Lepisosteus oculatus: one gene and its partner. The protein of the gene in region 1 interacts with the protein of each later gene in a pairwise test. Links are inferred from orthologs where the notes say so. Each region holds a gene or a part of one and is shown in the gene's direction. Other genes may lie near its edges.

Region 1 (9,584 bases):
GGCTCAGACATCAGAATGATAAGAGTATGCTCACCTCACAACATCATGTATAGCAAAAGGAGTGTGTTACACACCAACAAATCCAGATATGAATTAATACACTGTGTAATGAAATTAAATGTGTGTACAGTAAGAGGTCGTTATCATGGGAGACTCTAATTTCCTCACAAAGACTGGGAAAACCAGCTTGAATGTCTGCAGGAGAAACTGAAATGGTAGACAAGGTTAATGACTACTTTCTTACCAAATTTTCAGAATAAAGGAATGTCCTAAACTAAAATTACTAAACCTATAAAGTCCTGAACACAGAATACTATAATTGTAAGTAATCTAAGTATTTAAAATTGTCAAATGTTCTGACAAAATAGGAAGTGAAACAAGACCCAGGTGACAAAAGTTGAAACTGTGTGGGAGTGCAACTAAAGCTAGTGACAGATCCCTTTATACCCACAGGGTTGAGGGAGTATTGAAGAAGCTGCCCAGCTATGTATGTGGTGGAAGCTGATACTCAGGCTTTCTTCAAGAAATGGCTGAGCCTCTGTGCAATTAACTACTTGCAAATGGATAGGCTTGAATTGCCACATGGCCTCTTTTCTTTTTTAACCTTTCTCATGATCTTCTTATATTGTTTACCTCTTGTTCTGTTCCTTATTGATTCTGAAGATGATAAAAATAAGTTGTGATGCTTCATTCCGAATAGTAGAAAAAATAAAAACATAGATCAAATTATTTATTTTGCTCTGGTAATCCTACATACAAAAGAGAACTATAAACAAGAAGCCTGTTCTCCCCATTCTTGCAACACCTGCATTCCTTTGGATTTACATATGAGGAAATAAAATAACACAAATATTACCTTCACATATTTGTCCAGATTTTTCACAGAGGACCCTTCTGGCACTGGGATGTGTAGGTCTATCTTAACACTGCACTGTAGGACGGACCATGAGGATGAGAGTCCTGGCTGGTACTTCCAGTCTGCTGGCTTAGCAGAGCTCTTCAGGGCATCATTAAGAAGTGACAAGTAAAGATATAACGACGACAAAGATTCTTAATAAGCATTCATTCTTCAATGGAATAACTGCACAGAAGGTTGTAAAAGCTGTTTTCTTCACTGCTTTTGTATAAAAGGATGCAGAATTAAGCCAGGAGTTAATGGAAAAGGTTAAACATGGTAACATATTTGAGGATAAGAGCTAAGGATAGCATTAAAATCACGTCTAGTGACAGGGTAAATTAGGTTTGGAACTATGGTAGGAACACATTTTACACTCCAATTAACTGATTAGGTTTAGGGTCATCATGAGGTCTAAGGTTAGGTTAGGTCTAGTAGATGTTTTAGGTAGTACTTGTTTTATGTAGGGTATGGTTAAGGTTGCATTTCTCAAAGCAATATTTAAATTCTCTTTAATATCACCTTGGGGTCTTGCACATCGAAAGTCCGACATGTCACTCTTGGTTCACCAAGTCAAGGAAAATTATGAAGCTTTAGGTGACATTAATATCAGGACAAATGTCAGAGCTACTGAAAATAATGTGTCTGCTTCATATAAACATCTGTAATAGATACATTAACCTTACATCATGGTTTTGCAGACAGAAACTTACAACAGAAACACATTAGGAAGTCCCGCACCTCCAAGTACACAAGTGCAAATACGTTAGATGGTTACAAGTAACATAAGTTGACATGGCAAACTACATCATAATCACTGCTTTGTATTTTTTATGATTGCATTAATATTTAAGAATTAGCCTAAAATGTGAGGTCGGATTCAGATTCACCTTCCTACATCAAGGTTTTTGATTAATGATACTGCTCCTATGTACAGGAGAATGTCTGCATTGTCAACCTCACACACTGTTCTAAAGGATACTTCCTCGTCTTCGAGCAGATGTGAAGAGTCACTCTTTCTGAGACATCATCCTCTGATAGCTTCCAAAGCCTTCCCTTCACTACCGACTTCTCCACTCCAAATACCAACTAAGGAAGAAAAAAAAAAGCTCATATGCCTAAATGATTTTCTCACAGGTACAATTGTTAATACACGATTTTCTCCTTTCTGTCCAATTCAGAATGACCTTTTTTTTTTATTGGAGCCACTTCGGATTAATTTGAACTTTTTAGCCATATGTAACCGGTATATGTACTGGTACAATGGAATTCTTACTTACAGAATAGCTCATTGTTTTAGACTTGGCCAGTTTCCCCTCTAATTATGCACACAATGAGCAAAGTGAATTGTCTGAGCAACCGGGAATACTGAACATGATAATCTTGGGGAAACACAAAACTTTTAGAATCACTTGCAACGTTTTCTATTCCATTTGCAATGTAACAACATTTGTTCTTCCACTTTACATACTGTGGCTTGGAACTATTAAATTCAACGAATGAAGTAACGCTTGCTTGGAACATACATCTATCGCGTATTGGGCTTGGAGAACAACGTATTACTTTACTGTCATACATTTAGACCGAATGACCCAACAGCAGAGTATCACTGAATTCTGAAACAGAAACAGAAAAATAATAACTGAAATTAAGATAAATCAATTATGAATCTAAATGTAAAATCGATAGTTTTTCTCTCTCCAAAATGTGTTGTATGAGAAGTGGAGTTAGTCAAGGTTACATACAGTATGGATCTGGGCCATAACGCTCAATGTGTGTTTCAGTCATGGGCCTGACTCAGGGGCTGAGTCACTCACCCTCCGCAGTGTATTCTGCGACTCCTTGGACAGTTCAGGCGAGGCGATCAGAAACACGCCAAGGACCTCCAGCCCCCCAGGCAACATTCGAGAAACCTGTTCAGCACCACGGGACATTAAAACAAAGAGATCAACTGGGGGGGGAGTTCTCAAATTTCCTTAAAAAGATTTTCATAAACAGTATACGTTGACTAAAGGAAACAATTCTATTTTATTAAGCTCCGTATCTGTGTATATTTATTATTCCACTGTTGACCCGTTTTAACATTGACTTTGACATCTGTTGTCATATAGGCAGTAGAAATGCTATTGCTTCTTACAATCATTCGTTGCGCCTTTAACGCCTTTAAGTCTATTTGTTGCAATACCAGATATATACTTCAGTTCCACCTGCTTTCATTATGATGTGAATTTTTCTTGGCAAAGTCATTAAATCACACACCTGCCGAGCATGCCCAATGACCCAGTCTTCATCAATGTCCACTAGTGATACTTTACTCTGTTTGGGCTGGTTAAATTGCTCTTCTCTCTGGGCCGTTTGAACTGCAAGCACTACAAAGTCCCTCTGTGGAGAACACTAAACGCAAAGAAAAATAAAGTATTAGTAAAGCATCAACTAATAGTTTTATTTTGAATGTACTGAGCTTATTGTTTATGGAGTGCACTGTCACACTAAACATATCTAGTTCTCTTTTAAAGATGATAAGTTTACATTACACAAAAATCTCTACATTTATTGGATTTACTTTGGAGATGTCTAATGGTAAAACTATTTTAGTTTTATGCTTCGCTTCTTAAAAAAGCCCACTCATACGAAGGAACCTCACCTGCCCAATTAAGAGACCGGTTGTGAAGGCTTTTTCTGCAGTGACAAGGTTCAGAATGTACTTTTCTACCACGTCCTCCACAAAGTAACTTCTCCCCATCCTGAGAGATTTATCATTACTTGTCTTCTAAGGGGGAAAAGCAAAAATGACATATCAGTAAAATGGTACTTCACTTAGATTGATTCAGCAAACTGTGACACTATTATAAGTCGCTCTGGACAAAAGCGCTAGCTGAAACAGATGGGTATTATGCGAATCCCAAGAAGCACAGTGTATTTACGAACAGACTGCTGAATCCTTACTTATCGATCATGTGCGGGTTACAGCAGCTGATTCAGAGCAGCGCAGGAGTTACACGTCATCTCTTTGGTCAAGTACTTCTTAAAGAATCCGGGACTTTAATCCTTGTAGTATTATACATTTCCCTTCAAATTAAGCTGGATTGTTTAATGCAAAATGTAAATATTATAAGGAATTCTGTACAACAGATCGCAAATATCCTACACACAAAGATCTTATTTTGTGAGAAGGCACACGCTTTATTCTCCAATTTCAACACGCACACACCCAATCATAACATACGGGTGTAAATAAACAGCCCGAATATTGCTTTTCTCAAAACCCGTAACTTAAAATTTAGCTACTTTTAAATTTGAAACGTGTACTGCGATCATTATACTCCTTCTGTAGCTAAAGAGTAAAAATAGAAGGCACTGCAAATCATGCCCATGTAATATGCATACATAAATTTCTAACTTTCCAACATTCAATTGCCTGTCCACGACTGTCTCAACTATATGTTAACATCAGAAACTCATACCTGCACGCTTCACTTCTGCTTGGTAAGACCACCCAAAACAGCTTTTTTTTTTTCCTAGGAATGAACGTCACAAAGCCAGCAACCGCTGGTTGGCCATTTTGCGTTGCTTGATTATGACGTCCTTCTTCGGAGGACTTAACTAAAATGCTACACTCTTATTAAACTATGCGCTAGCTGCACAGGAAAAAAAAGTATAAATATTTAAGATGAATTAAATGAAAATGCTGTGGATAAACGTAAAAAGCCCAAGACGTCTGGAGGTTCATCGTTATGCATGCACATCTTCCTCTAAAAAACACATTTATATATTTTTCTCTTTAAATTGTAACTACTTATGACCTTTAATATGTCGTGAAAAAAGAAACGTATCTTCTGTCAGACATTACAAGGAGAAGAATAATTGCAACTACACTTTTCTTTACCTAGGTGGCGATGCAATTTACTTACGGAAATGACGACAAGCCCCGGCCTACCTAGGACTTTTTATATATATCTATGTGAGAGAGTGGGGAGATAGGCGGTATTTTCCAAGAGCTTTCGCCCGAATTGAGACTTGAGGGGGTTAAAGATGGCGGCGATTCTGCAGCAGATGCTGGAACGGCCTGAGCTGGCCAAGCTCTCCAAAGCCGTCCAAAACAAGCTCGAGAAGTTCTTGTCAGACCAGCAATCTGAAATAGATGCCCTCAAATCCCACCACGAGCGATTTAAAGTAGACAGTGGTAAGATGTTTGGGAAACGTTCATGTTTAATCTTTCGTCATGCCTGCTCTGGAGACGCAGGGAGATCTCGCGTTTCATTCCGATCGCAGACTTTGGATTTTGAGAGCATATGATTATAAGTGCGCAGTTGTGAACATCGCTTTCCTTAATGTTTGAACTGACTTTGGTATAGGGCCCATTTCTCCAGCTGCGTGTTTATTCATATATTTTAATATGGCTGCCGAGAGGAGGCAAACAACAGGCCTTTGGCACCTGGCTTTTCAGACCTCAAAAAAGGATGTTGTCTGATTCCTTTTGGAAGGTTGAGTTTTCCATTTCTGTCTTTTTTTTGTTGATTTACAAACTGTGAATTTGGAGGAAATCCCCCATCTGTAGTATTTGATCTTCATACTTTGAATATTGAATTACGAGTTTGTTACGTCTGTAAACTGCAATGTTAACCCCATCTGAGCAACTGATCTTGAACGTGAATTTGTCCCGTTTCAGGCTGTAGTGGTTAATTTGTAATTTAAAGAATGGGGACGATTATCTACCTGGTATAAATCATTGATTTGTCAGACTTTTTATGCAAATATAAATAACCTATGTTTAACGACATACCTGTACCCTAAACTTTTGCAAAACTGTTTGTCAGGTTAAGTTACAGGATTGTCTTGTAATATAAGCAGTTATTGAATGATTTTGCACAGATTTAGGAGTTAAACAGTGCTTAATCATTCATTAATATTAAAAGCTTTTCTTACAGCAGTGCAACCAAGATTGATGCAGGCTATTCTCTAATCTTTACAGAGCAGCAGTACTTTGAAGTGGAGAAGCGACTGGCTCAGAGCCAGGAGAAACTCGTATCAGAGACTCAGGAACGCCAAAATCTCCAGGAGGAGTTCACCAAGCTCAGTAAGTACACGGATTGCAATCACTTTATAGTAAATGTGACAGTACTATAGTTTTCACCCAGATACGAATGTAGTCCATGCCTTTGAGCATGCTGTTGTAAATGGTAGGCTACTGTCAAAAATGTTTGGAAGCTAACTCTAAGGATCTTTGTTCATGCTTGTTCCTGCACAGGGTGTATAGTTTGTGATTCAGGCCATGTGGTAAATTATCTTTTTGAAGAATCCTCTTTTTTTTTGGATGAATCTTTGGCTACTGCTCGAAGCTTGCCATGTAAAGACTCATTCACATTACAAGTAGGGCTCTAAACTAATTTTTCTGCGTTCAATTTCTAGGTGCAGAGCTGAAGACCCTGCAAGAGCAAAAGAGAGAATATGAGTCCTCAGAAGAGAGATTTTCTGCACAGCAGGTGAACATCAAAATACATTTTGGATACAGACATTTTAGTTACTTGTTCTGAAATGCCTTTTCTTTGGATTTTGTATGTCATTTCATCTGAAACTTAAAAGGGGCACATTTTGCTTGTGAGCAGGCATCACAGAACCACCGTCTTCTGTTTAATTTCAGGCTCACCTCACCAAAGTCAAAGATGAACTGGAGGCTGAAAAACGAGAGTTGGTCCGAACACTGGAGAAAAGGTCCCAGGAAGTGGAGCATCTAAGTGGTATGAAAATCTGGGTTGTGCCACAAAGCCTCTGACCTTGAAGGAATCTTTTAAGACAGCCTAATTTGCATAGCTGCTGTCGTTATGATGAATTGTGTTATACAGTTTAGATGGGGTTTTTCTTGACACTGTTGCTTGAAATCTTAAGACTCAGAAGTCTAGTTTTTGTTTGGCAACTTGTATTAAGGGAATCTGGTTGTCTTGGAGTTTCAGAATAAAGGTGAGTTGTTTTGAGAGTAAAAGGCCACAAGAGGGGCTGAGTGAGATGTACTGGAGTCTTTTCACGTTGTGAAATTTTAAATATTTGTGCTCCTCAGCAAAGCTCTCAAAAAAAGGGCAGTGCAACATATTCTACAAATTGGAGTCCTTCGGTGTTAAGTTCAGATCTACCGTCGTTTTTCTTTTTATGCAACAGATACTTAAAAATGTCATCTTTCTTTAACAGAGGACCTTAAACGTCTCAATGACAAGCTTGTGGAGACGAATACTGCAAAGATGGAGTTCCAGTTAAAGCTTGATGAGCTTCAGTCTTCGGAGGTTTCAATCAAGGTGAGGTTAATACAGCTTTAGGAGTCTGTCAGTGAAACTTGTAACATTGAGATTAAACCAAAAGTTGAAGTGGTTGCCTGGAAACTGTAAATTTGGAAAACTGTATTTATCTGCCAGAGGCTGTTGTGAATCTGTGGAGTCACAACCACTAAGAAAACTGCATCTTTGGAATATTACAGGTTGGTCATGTTCTAAATAGAATCTAAGTAGGACAACAACACAAAGTTGTTTTCTGTTTTTGTTTTAGTACCGGGAAAAGAGGATGGAGCAGGAGAAAGAGCTCCTACAGAGTCAGAACTCTTGGCTGAACACAGAGCTGAAGGCCAAGACTGACGAGCTGCTCTCTGTCTCCCGAGAGAAAGGCAATGAAGTTCTGGAGCTCAAATGCAACCTGGAGAATAAAAAGGAGGAGGTTTGTTTTATATGCTTTATTAGGCAGATTATATGTTGTGGTCTGGTCCTGCAAGGGTTAAGAAACAATACTCTTGCACTTCAGGTTTCTGTTATAAACACCTGAAACTGTAAACACATATTTAAACAAAAATAATACTTGATTTGGTCCAGCTTTGGCTGGTGTGAAAAATCCACTCTTTTGATTAGGTGCAGCTACTTCTCAAGTGCATTCTTCATTCATTGAGAAGGTTTATAGTTATGCATCCCAAAATTGTGTTAATACTATACTAAAGTGCAGTTTGGCCTTCTACAAAGTAATGCCTTTGCTTAGAGCGATATAAGTACAACTCACCCATTTGGCTTGGTTCTGTTATTCCTCAGCCTAGGAGTAATTTTAGTTAAGCATGTCAGTTGTTATTAATCTGGTTTTAAGTTAATACTGATGTTGCCCTGCGTGTCCTAAAACCGAGATGCAGGCTGCTGGTCTCTTAATTACTTTATTGCTTTTCAGGTTACAAGACTTCAAGAACAAGTGAACAGTCTGAAATCGTCAAATGAAAACTTTCAAAAGCAAGCAGAGGACTTGATGATGAAATTGAAAGAGGTCATTTTTTCTTTGTGGTATGAATTTCACTATTTGAGCTGGAGACCTAACACCGACCAGTGTAACACTGTCTTCTTCTATAGGCAAAGGAGCAGCAGGCCAGCATGGAGGAGAAGTTTGGCCATGAACTGAATGCGCACATAAAGCTGTCCAATTTGTACAAGGCAGGTCCACTTATTTAAGTTTTTACATTTCTTAACAGGATCTATTAAAATGAAATTGTTCAAACGCTTGGTCTCCAGTCTCCCCAGCTGAAGCTGGTCCTGGGATGTGTTGCCATAAAGCACAGTATGCTCAGAAAAACTCCAAAGTTAATGAAAGGAGTGGGGGGAGATTAATAAAAAAGTGAATCTTGTCCAAAAGTGAATGTTGCATTAACTATGGACTGTACCCTCCTGCTTTGGAAAATAAAAAAAACGTTTGTGGGGCATTAACTGATCATAGCTCAACTTTGTTTAATGATCAATGTGGAATTTCATTTTAGATGAACTGTATACATATGACAGGAAAAATGCTGAAAATTGTTTAGATTTTGTCATGTTAATTGGCTGAATTGATTCAGGCCCTTAACCTATTTATGTACTTTTTTTTTCTCAAGCTTACAAAGCTTAACATGATTCTAGTAGAGTGTAAGTGTAAAACGGTCTTAAGTCATTAAAAAATGGATGTTTTGAGAAGTTGTTTCAGTTTTATTGCTTTGTGTGTAGAGTGCAGCAGCAGATTCAGACTCTAAAAGTGAGGAGCTCAACAAGGCTGTGGAGGAACTTCACAAGTTACTGAAGGAAGTGGGAGAAGGTGAGTAATTGCTCTTTACGGGAGTCTTTGCCTTATTTGTAACGTTAAATGAAACCGAAGACGTTTTCTGGGGGCATCCTGCTGTCACACCAGAGTCCTGGGCTTGAATCTGACCTTGAGCAACTGTGTGGAGTTTGAAATGTTCTCTCATTGTCGGTTTGGTTTTTCTATTCCCCACCAAACTGCCAAGGGCATTTTAGTTGTAGTTTTACTGAATTATTTTTCCATGGTCCTGTAATGGAGTGGTGTCCCACCCAGAGAAGACAAAGTTGTATGCCATCAATTCAGCCTTGTGTCCTGTGCTTTATGATTTGACTCGGTCCTTTCCTGGATAAATAGCTTGCAGATTTTGATGGATGAACTGTTAAATCAACTGTTTGCTCTTTGTGTGTTTCTATATACAGCAAAGAAATGCACAGAAATGAGGCTTTTAGAAGCGGAGAATGCAAAAGAGAAGATTGAAGCAGAGCTGAAAGACAAGATCAGAAATATGGAGAAAGAGCTAGAGAATGCTAATGATCTGCTCTCCAATGCCAAGCGAAAAGGTGATGTATCTGTGAAGTCTTACAAAGGACTCTGGTTGAGTACAGCAGTGCTGTTAACATTGCCT
Region 2 (10,045 bases), on another chromosome or scaffold:
CATCACTTTACATACAGTCATAGACGTACTACAACGTATACAGTGGTCATTTATTCTGAGATACAGAAGGATCTTGTATCTGCTGTATTATGCTAAGGTGTCGATGCTGACACAGTTCCTTCTTCCCATCAGCTTATAACGTTTATTATTGTAAATGAGCAGGAGACCGTAAATTGTCATTTGTATAACTTGTTTTCACTGGTAGAGAAAAATGTTAGCTCTTATGTTGATGTAGCTCTTGAGCTGCATGCTTATTTCAAAGTCTTGTTTGGCACACCACGTGTTGTAAAACTATCACTTATGTTTAAAAGTGGTCTAAATATTTGTGGACAGAGAGGGACTGAAGTTCTTAAATTAAAAAGGAAGTTCTTCTTACTCTGAGACGAGCCATCGCCACTGAGGCGGAGAAAGAAAGTTTGCGTTGTGAAATATCTATCCTGTGGATGTAAATGTTTTTATTTGTTGTGTTTACAGGCAAACACGACGGCACTGTCCATGGGCGGGAGTATTTCCGCTGCCTCCCGGGACACGGCGTGTTTGTGAAGCCCACCCGCCTCTCTCCAGCCCCCCACAAGGTCAAAGCGCAGGACAGCGTACCCAGGTCCCAGTCGGCCGCCAGCACCAGCAGGAAACGGAGAGGCGTCGCCACCCCCCCGAAGACGCAAGAACACCGCCGCTCGTGGGTCAGCTGATCCTCGGCTTTTGCTCTTGCTACGCGACCTGCTGCGTAGAGAAACAGTGTTTGGTTGTGTATATTGGAACCTGATGTGTATATTCGGAAAGGTGACTGAATGGTTTCTGCTGGGTCGTGACTTTGTCCTTTTATTAGACACCAGCTAACAGCTAGTAGTTGGTGCACATTATACAGATACACATGTACTTAGTTTAAAGCCCACATTTTATAACTTTGACATGCTGTATTAATTCTGAATTACTTCATTGGAGACGCCTATTCACTCAGACAAGCTTACCTCCTGAGAGAATGTGGGTTTTCTGTTAGAAACTAGACCACTGTTAAAATTGTCTGTTTTCCTAACTCCTTGTCTGTATGATTTTAAATGTTGTGAATTGCCAAAGAACCCATTATATCTGCTGTCCATACCCTAGTTTGTTTGTTTTTTTAAAGGGAAAGCTCTGTGCCATATTTCCCTTGATGGCTAGGTATTGTAATGCCTTTTGCTTCTCTGTGTTTCACAAAACACTCTTCCATGACGTCTGTCTTCCAAAAGGCCGCTACTGTGTTGACTAGGCTTTTACTGGAATCCGTACAAACTCAATCACCATGCATCATCCAGTGCCTCAAGGCATTTAAAACACTAACATTCAAGTCTGTCTGCCAGGTAGATACAGGACTGAGAAAAGTGTTACTGCTACAAAGAGAGCTTCAGTTTTGTTGTGTTTTGGAACAAGTACAATTTCCATTATGTAATGGTACTTAGACTCTCCTAATTTAAACTTTTATGTGGAATGGTAGGGTTGGACAATGATGGGGAAACAAAAAAAATGTATGTATCATAGTTTTATATACTTGGATGATAGTGGGTCTTGTGTGCTCTGCTTGAAAAGTATTGCTAAAAGTATTTTTAAACAGATTTCATCACGAGGAGCTGCAAAAACAAACGGTCTACTGTAATTTCAAGTAAAAACCCAGGACCTTATTTTAAAAAAGCTGCTCTCCCCGAATCGATGGTGTAAATAGCCCCCTGTTTGGACATAGTGTTTACTACACTGTACTGTACAGAATTGTAATTTATATTGTATTTCACCAACTCTATTTAATTGGTACAGAAGTGTTTTAGAATACAGAATGTTTACAATGTAAATACTTTTCTTGTCTTTTTTTCTTCATTCCAAGATAGTCATGAGCATTGTCAAGTTCTCTATCTGGTACATTACTCAAGGGTCATCACTTATTTTAAGCAGTCATTATGTCAGAAGCCAGTTCATCTTGGCATTCATAAGATATTTCTGAAAGGTAGATGTGTCAACTGCAAAGGAGCAGGTAAAGGTTTATTCCATGCTTAAAGGAAAAGAAAAGAGATGCAATGTTTCAGCTATGTTGCCTTCTTCAGGATTTTGACCACATCTGAAACGTTGTCTCTTTTCCTTTCAGCGTGGAATAAACGTTTACCTATTCCTGAGACATTTTCATTTGTTTTAAATATATGCACTGAAGTACAATTTACAGCACAGCAAAAAAGAGCTGTTAAAATGACTAAGAATCGGCACTATGGCTTGAGCAATGCCTGTTAAACACTGGGCTCTCCCTGCTAGCTGCTGACTTCTTTCAGAAGAACTGTGATATTTCAATCTATCGCCTGCCACCGCTATGTAACAAATAGCTTATCTGTTCAACACCAACTTCCTCACAAAATAAGATAAAAGGGATTTTTTGTGAAAAATAATACTGGTTCTTTATGAGAGTATCACCATATAAAGCAATATCTTAGGACTCAAAACCATGCTTTTAATTACCATGCTTTTAATTACCAAGTAAAGTCATTTAGTGCTGTCACAGTGCTTTTAGTGCTTTTGAGAATAAAGAAGATACATCACTGTGTTGAACCACAGAGTATCTAAACCTGTACTTTTAATTTGCCCATTCAGGATTAAATGAAAGTCCAGAAAGTTAGCCAAGAAACTGCACAATTCTCAAGTTGGACTGCACCTGGAGTCCTATGTTGATTTCCAGGAGGGTTCTGAATAAAGCCTTAGGTGATTTAGTTGCATTGTAAAAATTCTTAACTTAAAACTCTGGTTGTATGACAAAGCTTCATCCTTATATTCTTAATACTGCTGTTACAATTGTTGTATTCCGGAGCAAGCCAACTAGCCATATTGTAGAAGCTGGTACCCTGGTTCCTTTTAAGAAACAGCTGTATGAGATCCCTGGATCAATTAACTACAAACTACCAAATGGATCAGATGGGTCAGATGGCTTCCTCTCTTTTGTAACCTTTCTTATGTACAGTAGAAAGCAAAACATTTTTTTTAAGTTTCACCCACTAAAGGCTCATGCATAAAATACAATTACCCCCCTTCTGTCTGGACAATTGTATTGAGAATCCTGCAGTCTGACACATATTATATTGTTATACTGTAAGAAATATTTGAAAGAAAAAATCAGTCATTACCAAACTCCTCAAACACATCGATCAGTAGTGTCTTTCTTAGTGTACTTCTTCTTGTGAATCAGAGTGACAGTTCAGTAATGGCTGTGTGAATCGGCTTTTCAGATTATTCTGGATGTCTATAGGTTTTTATTACTTATTACTTAGCTCTTCCGTTAAAGGCCGTCTGAAGAGCATCTCCCAAAAAGGCAGTTCATGAAAAGGTTTGTAAGAAAACATACAGTATGCTTAAATGGCTTATGGCCACTTCCTAAAGGCTGAATATCTTCACTGACAGATATGTCATTTACTGTATAATTGTGTGTGCTTTCTCTGAAGCTCTGTGTACAACACCAGTCTGCAGTCTTGCCAATATAACCCTGAACTCTTTACATCACGGATTCAGATCCGTGATCTGTAACTCTAGCTGAAACCAAAGGTTTTTAGGACTGTTTTCTCACTCGGTTCAAGTAACAAGGCTCACTGGCATAGAGGCTGTTCCAGAGGATGACTTCATTACCTTTGAATGTAAAATCGCTCTAAAGTACTACAAGGACATTAAAAAGGATATTTACATACTGTATAAAAACATAGATCCTTTCATGCAGACTGTAACTTCCTAGATCTCACTATTACTGCCTCATATGTATTTGTGCCATCTTCCTATGTGGACTCTTCTGCACAAAATTATATTAAATTTCACTTGATGTTTTTCTGGCATTGGGGCTTTTAAATTCCTGCCAAAGGACAGAAACAGAGGTCTTTGTGGCCATGACTGTGGCAGACACAATAGTGTGTGTATATATTACAGGACTGGGAAGGACCTCAATCCTGACTGTACTGGTATGTTCCCTGAAATGGTTGGCCAGTGTAAATGGAAGGAAACTTTGTTCGGGAAAGATCACTCTAATCCACAGATCTCTTCACAATCCGTGCTAGACACTTTGTGATGGACCAGAAGACACTGTATTGCCAGTAAATTCATATCCACTCCAGATCACCCAGAGGGCATTGTGCCTGTCCTGCAATTCCATCCACTGCATTTCTTGCGGAAAGCGTCCTACACTATCACATTTGAAAATCAAGACGAATGCCCTTCACAGTAATTCAAAGCGGTAATTTCAGTTGCCATATTTCTGGCTATCACACACCCAGTGGAGTTTACCTGCCCCAGTTTAGGGGGCAAGAGTAGATGTGGGAGACTGCAACTGGGTTGCTTTCTTGCCTGGTTTAAGAGCAACTTGCAGGCAAGGCCAGCTTGGAAGGTATCTGAGAATGGCCAGCACCTGCATGGAAGGCATTCAGGAGCTATTCAGGGTTCTTGTACTGTATTTACAGAGTCAGAGAGTACAAGTTGTACTCCAGCTCCCCAGGGGAGTTAAAATAAAATATATGCTGATTTTTTACCTCTGGTGTGTTGACTGTGCTTGGGTGATGTCACAATTCCTCCGGAGATTTTATTCTTTATTCAGGCAAAGTACACTGAATTCTCACCGTCATCAACTACATAGTATGAGGAAGTAATAAAAAAAGGACAAAAGAATGCTTGGGCATAGCATTGAGATTGCAAAGGTTAAATCAAGTGTAAGTAACGTTTAAGTTATAAATTAGATTGCTTTTACATGGAATAGTTTAAACCTTTTGTCAGCATGCTAAAAAAATCATTTAGAGGTGAGCACTGACAAAATTAGTGTTTCTAGCCTGGAACATGGGAATTGAATTGAGGTTCTCAGAATAGCAAAAACCTTCACTCAATCAACTCAATTTAAAGTACAGGTAACAAATTGTGTCACTCGTAAAATTCTAGCAGTAAAACCTATGTGCTCAAACGTCGTCAAGATAGAAAGATCTGAACAGGTCGGTGTACCCAAATTCCTTTTTGTACGTTTCAAAGACGTGTCTATAAATGGTAATATTCCGTGTGTACGTAAGTTAAATGTGATTAATAAAAAATACATCTTGACGAATGTATGATTTTATCCGACGCATTCAGCTTTTTTATTTAAAAAAAATTAAGTTAACTCTTCCACGAGGCGTACCAGAAAACAGAACTTCAGGTCCCACAAACCCTTGGCATACGCCTCGCCCGCGATGCATGTCGGTATAGCGGCGGGCCAGGCTTCTCGGAGGCTGACGGGAGAAGAGTATCCGATACCGAGCGGTGAGCTGTTGTGAGTAAACCATGGCGGCTGCAGGAGGAGGGAAAATCAGAACTAGGAGGTACCACATCGCTTCGAAACCTTACGCCAAAGGCAAACAGGTAAATTGAACTCTGCTTTGTGGCTAAAAGAAAACGGCGGTGTCTTGCTCGCTGGTGGTAGTCAGGTGTTGTGTGTTTGTAACGGCGTCTTGCGGCCTGGTCTGCCCCATCCTCGGAGGCCTGCGCTCTCTGGTACCTGGTGTCTGCGGCCTACTGGGCGCGCAGGCAGGCTGAACACATCGGGGAGGTCGGGGAAATAAGGCAGCCCGGGAGCACACTGCGAGTAGCGGTGGCGTGAAGAGGCAGTCGGGGTGCATTATCGGATTGTCATTAAGCGGTACTTAAACTTTGCATCATTTTGCGATTTTACTGGTATTCTCTTCGCTGATTTTTTTTTGTTTATTTACTTTTTTTTTCGGGCGCTAAAAATGTAACGTGCGTCCACCCTGGAGCGAGTCCAGGCCCCGCATGTTGCTTTAAGACTGTAACTCTTGCCGGAGTGGCGTGCACACACTCGCCAGGTGGAAACAGGGGAAAGCCCCGATAATTTCGCTTCGCGGAATTAATCCTTGAGACCGCCGAGTTCCGTCCTTTTAGACGGCGAGTCAGGGTGATCGGTGCGCTCCTGTGCTCCGAGCATGTGGCTCCGGATCTCGCAGTGCAGTGATTGCGATCACGTCGTAAGCGGGCAGATCGCCGAAATTTTGCGGCATTCGATGTTCGAACGCCAGCGGGATAAGTATATTGTATTCCTAAACCTTTGCACTTCCCAATGTGAGGTTTAAAGTGTAATCTCCGTTATTGAGGAGTATGCGCTAACCAACCCAATTAAAAGTGGTTTATTCGTGGGGTGCTGTATTTTATTCTAAGTTTCGTCTCTCTTTAAATATCATGTCCGGGCACCCAAAAAGCTTGAAAAAGAACGCCCCCCCCACCTTTTAAAACCATTCGAGTATAACAATGTTGTTATATTTAACTTTTTTCAATTCCATTTAAATCACTCCAAATTCTGGACATGTGGATTCTGTCAAGAAGAACCCGAGTGTAGGTTTGTATTAGATGAAGTCATTCCACAGGCTTGAGCTGTGAGTTTTTAGTCACACTGAAGCATCTTGCTGTTAACTCGCAACCTTTGTTTCAAACTTTATCACGCAATTTAGGATTTCACCAAGGAGAACTGTAGTAGCTAACCCAATCATTTAAAAATACAGCTGGTTAACAGATTTGCTACTGTTTGGGGATTTTTTGTGCTGTTTTTTTATCTTAGATCTGTCATGATGGCATATTATGACAGATCTAAGAACATCACTCATGATGCAGGTACAAAAATTGGTTTAAATAGGCCAAGTTCATGAAAAGTTAAATTATGCAAGACTGGGCCTGTTACATAATATGCCAGTTCATCTCCTGAATGCTTCTGTCTTAGGAATGAGGTTTAATTTTTTTTTTAAATGCGCCTTAAGTTGCAGGATATTTTTTCTTCTTGTCTGTCCTGGTCTTTCGAAGCGCTTTCACTGTGCCGAAAGTTGTCCAAAATACGGGGAAGGAAAATGTGTAGTGAAAGAAAACTGAACTATCAGTTCATCTAGTATCAGAAAGCTGTTTGTTCCTAGCGAGGGTCACAAGGTGAGACTCGCTCTGGATGGTATGTTGCAGGAAAGACGGACATAGGGACAATGAGAGAGTCAGTTATCCTGACCAGCGTGTCTTCGAGGAAACTGGAGCACATGGAGAAGACTCGTATAGAATCAGGGAGAAGACATATACCACACAGAGGGCACGTTCTAATTTAAACTGGTGTGGCCAGCCTATGAGGCAGTACATCTTTTTTTAGTGTTTTTAATGTTTCTTTATTAGCCCTATACAATTTATTGCATTAGGAATTCGCCTTTTCGCATACCCCGGCTTTTCTCCATGGAAACACAGACAGGGAGAGAAGCTGCCATTGTACGGCGCCCCTGGAGCAGTTAGGGGTTAAGGGCCTTGCTCAGGGGCCCAACGAAGTAGGGGCCCATTCCTCTGCCGGCCGCGGGGATTTGAACCGGCAACCTTCCAGTCACAGGCGCAGATCCTTAGCCACAGAGCCACCGCTCCGCCCCTGCATTTTGCATCTGTATCTGTATCTGCATCTGCATCGCCCCTTCCATCTGCAATGGAAGCTTTGAATCGGGTTGCATAGTTTTTTGGGACTCCCATCATTTATACATGGCTTAAATGCCACATACCCATCATTCAGGAAAACTAATAGTCACATCAGGATGAACCTGCCAGAAAGGCTGGGAAGTGAGGTGTCCCTGTGCAATGCAGTCCGAATACTCTGTGTTGCTATGAGTTCTGTAGTAACTAGACACTCCTGCACAGATTCTCCAAATGTGATCATTTAACTAGAGAACATTTTGAAGAGGGCAACAAATCCATATGCATCTGAATTTTGTTTTCCTCTGTTGTGTTGTCTTAGAAGTTCTGTATTTTTTTAAAGGTGCCAGACAACTGAAATATCAGGCAGCTATTTGTAAATTTAAGTTATAAATTGTCCCCTTCACCAAATTAACATCTCTTTGAAAACGCATCCCAAATCGGCTCTTATCATTTACTCCTAATTATTCTTTTTTATCAAGCAGAGGGCTGAGTAACCGAATTTGGACAGCTCAATATGTACTCTTGAATTTCAGGTTAGAAATGTGGTATAGGGTTATCGTCAAAGAATTGGTGATAGTTAAGGTTAAAGTTGTGATAAGAGTGTGGATATGTCAGGATTCATTTTTTAGTGTAAGTGTAAGGTACACGTACAGGTTGTTTTATTCCAACTTTTTGTCTCAACCCAGGTTTTGAGTATGTAATGAGCTTTCCAGAGGTTCATATCAGCATCTGCATCATCTGACAGCTTTTGTGCTTGCATTCATTAAGATATCTGCATCAGGGCCACACAGTTTTAATAATCTACTCATTGCACTTGCACTTAATACATAGCTCAGAACCAGCTGAGTCAGGAATGTACTTTCTTACAGGTCAAGTTGTCACGCTGTCTGGCATTAGTACAGTTCTGTTATCATGAAGGAGGGATATTTTTTTTTAAATGAGCGTCATTATTCATGGTACCCAAACGAAACATTTTTTTTTCTATCATTCAGTTGTGAACCAAAAATTAAGGTAAAACTAGTTTTGATTATGTATTTCTTAATGAAGTATAAATAAAAGATTTACAGCTGAAGAACAATAATTCATTGTTTACCAGTGTCGGTTATTGATCAAATCCAAAGTTTTCTTTTAAAAACATGTCTTTTAAGTGTTGTTGCCTTTTTAGAAATTGTAAAATAGCTCAGAGTCTCTTTATTGAGATGCCAACATGATTATAAGCTTTTTTCATTCTCTGGCATTACCTCCCAAACATTTGTCTTGAGTTAAATTCACAAGAGTTAATTTGGCAGCATTATGGAAGGGCTGCCAATGCACATTTTGGACAAAACCCTAGTTCTTATTTTTTCTGGTTATTATTTCCATTCATAACATGGAGCGTATATAAACTTTTTCGTTGAAGGAAGCTATCATTTTCAAAGTGTCCCTTTGTTGTGGTGTACTGCTATTTTATCGGCCGAAAGGGTTACTGAGCTGATTTCAGCTAGTACGGTTGGGATTTGGGAATATGCTGTAGAAGCTTTCATTCCTGTTCAGTTTGTGGGGTGAATTTTTGGTTCAAATTAGTGGTTATTTTAATTGAGGGGATTTAAAAACCTCTCTGAGATTGTGGGTGTGATGCATTGTCTTTCCCCTAGGTCCTGAGAGCAGGCAGACTCAGGTCTGAAACGCACAGCTGACCCAGATTCCTAACTGCATGTTTGTTTGGAAGTTTGTTCAGACTCTTTTCTAGCTGAACCCTTGGCGTTTTGACAGTGCCCTCTTGTGCCCCAACGTGCTTGAATTTACTGGGTTGGAACAGTTTCTTCAATGAAATTTTTTAAAACTAAGGTCATGCAGTTGCTTTAGTGAAAGCCTTTACAGGCTCATGAAAACATACATTTTAGTACAGCTGCCATTAAGACATAGCTAAGGCAGTGCTAGCAGTCTGTGACAATGTGACCAGCGGTTTTTATTTGAATATTCAATCTTTCTTAAAAAGCAGGCATCAATACTTCTTTGTAGATGCGTGACTGTGGGGGTGTTTGTATTTTCTCACGCCACAGCTTCTGTCCTGCTCCTGTATACAAACATCTTAGGCAGGGTTATCAAATGTATCATTTTTTGTTAGTCAAAATGTTAATTCAGAATTCAAATATTTTTCCTCAGCACTAAACTGAAATCCAGATGTATCTTTAGATGCTTCTGCAGCAAAAACACTAGCAAAGGGGTTTTGCTAGAAAAGTTTAGAACGAACCACTGTTTTTTGCCGATATTCCTTTTTTCTTAAAAACGTTCTTTAGACGTACTCAGGTAAATGTGGCCGTGTGCTAGTCAGTCTTTTTAGTGGCCGATAAAATGGTTAAAAATATTTGATAGATGCCTTTGTCTAACTTTTACACATACCTATTTATGTTCTATGTACAGTTTTAGTAGATACTTGTGTTTTTTTGTTGCCACTTTTGCTTTAAAACATTCTCTCAGTAGTCTTTCTGAACTTCTCCATGTTTCAATTGACATGATTTTTTTCACACTGATAGTTTCATGAATGGTCTGAATATATTATGTTTTATTTCAATCCCATCTTGATACCTGGCTTTATTTTATGTTGCAGCACTTA

Evidence for each region.
Region 2: the proteins of nucleoprotein TPR (region 1) and nup153 interact in a two-hybrid assay, tested with the Homo sapiens proteins (3 studies listed by BioGRID, with this or other methods). The link is inferred for Lepisosteus oculatus from reciprocal best matches to the Homo sapiens genes TPR and NUP153.

Annotation. Positions count from the first base shown.
Region 1 is NC_090704.1:8,458,140-8,467,723, forward strand, and holds the start of nucleoprotein TPR, read left to right. Parts: upstream 1-4,860; 5' UTR 4,861-4,927; coding exon 4,928-5,078; intron 5,079-5,867; coding exon 5,868-5,972; intron 5,973-6,304; coding exon 6,305-6,378; intron 6,379-6,536; coding exon 6,537-6,633; intron 6,634-7,078; coding exon 7,079-7,182; intron 7,183-7,429; coding exon 7,430-7,594; intron 7,595-8,086; coding exon 8,087-8,179; intron 8,180-8,262; coding exon 8,263-8,343; intron 8,344-8,886; coding exon 8,887-8,974; intron 8,975-9,378; coding exon 9,379-9,519; intron 9,520-9,584. Other genes in the region: odr4 (protein odr-4 homolog), read right to left, coding at 857-997, 1,418-1,454, 1,878-1,984, 2,713-2,808, 3,155-3,289, 3,540-3,638.
Region 2 is NC_090705.1:16,832,215-16,842,259, reverse strand, and holds the start of nup153 (nuclear pore complex protein Nup153), read left to right. Parts: upstream 1-5,231; 5' UTR 5,232-5,292; coding exon 5,293-5,370; intron 5,371-10,045. Other genes in the region: kinesin-like protein KIF13A, read left to right, coding at 475-692. UniProt on the Homo sapiens protein: Component of the nuclear pore complex (NPC), a complex required for the trafficking across the nuclear envelope. Functions as a scaffolding element in the nuclear phase of the NPC essential for normal nucleocytoplasmic transport of proteins and mRNAs.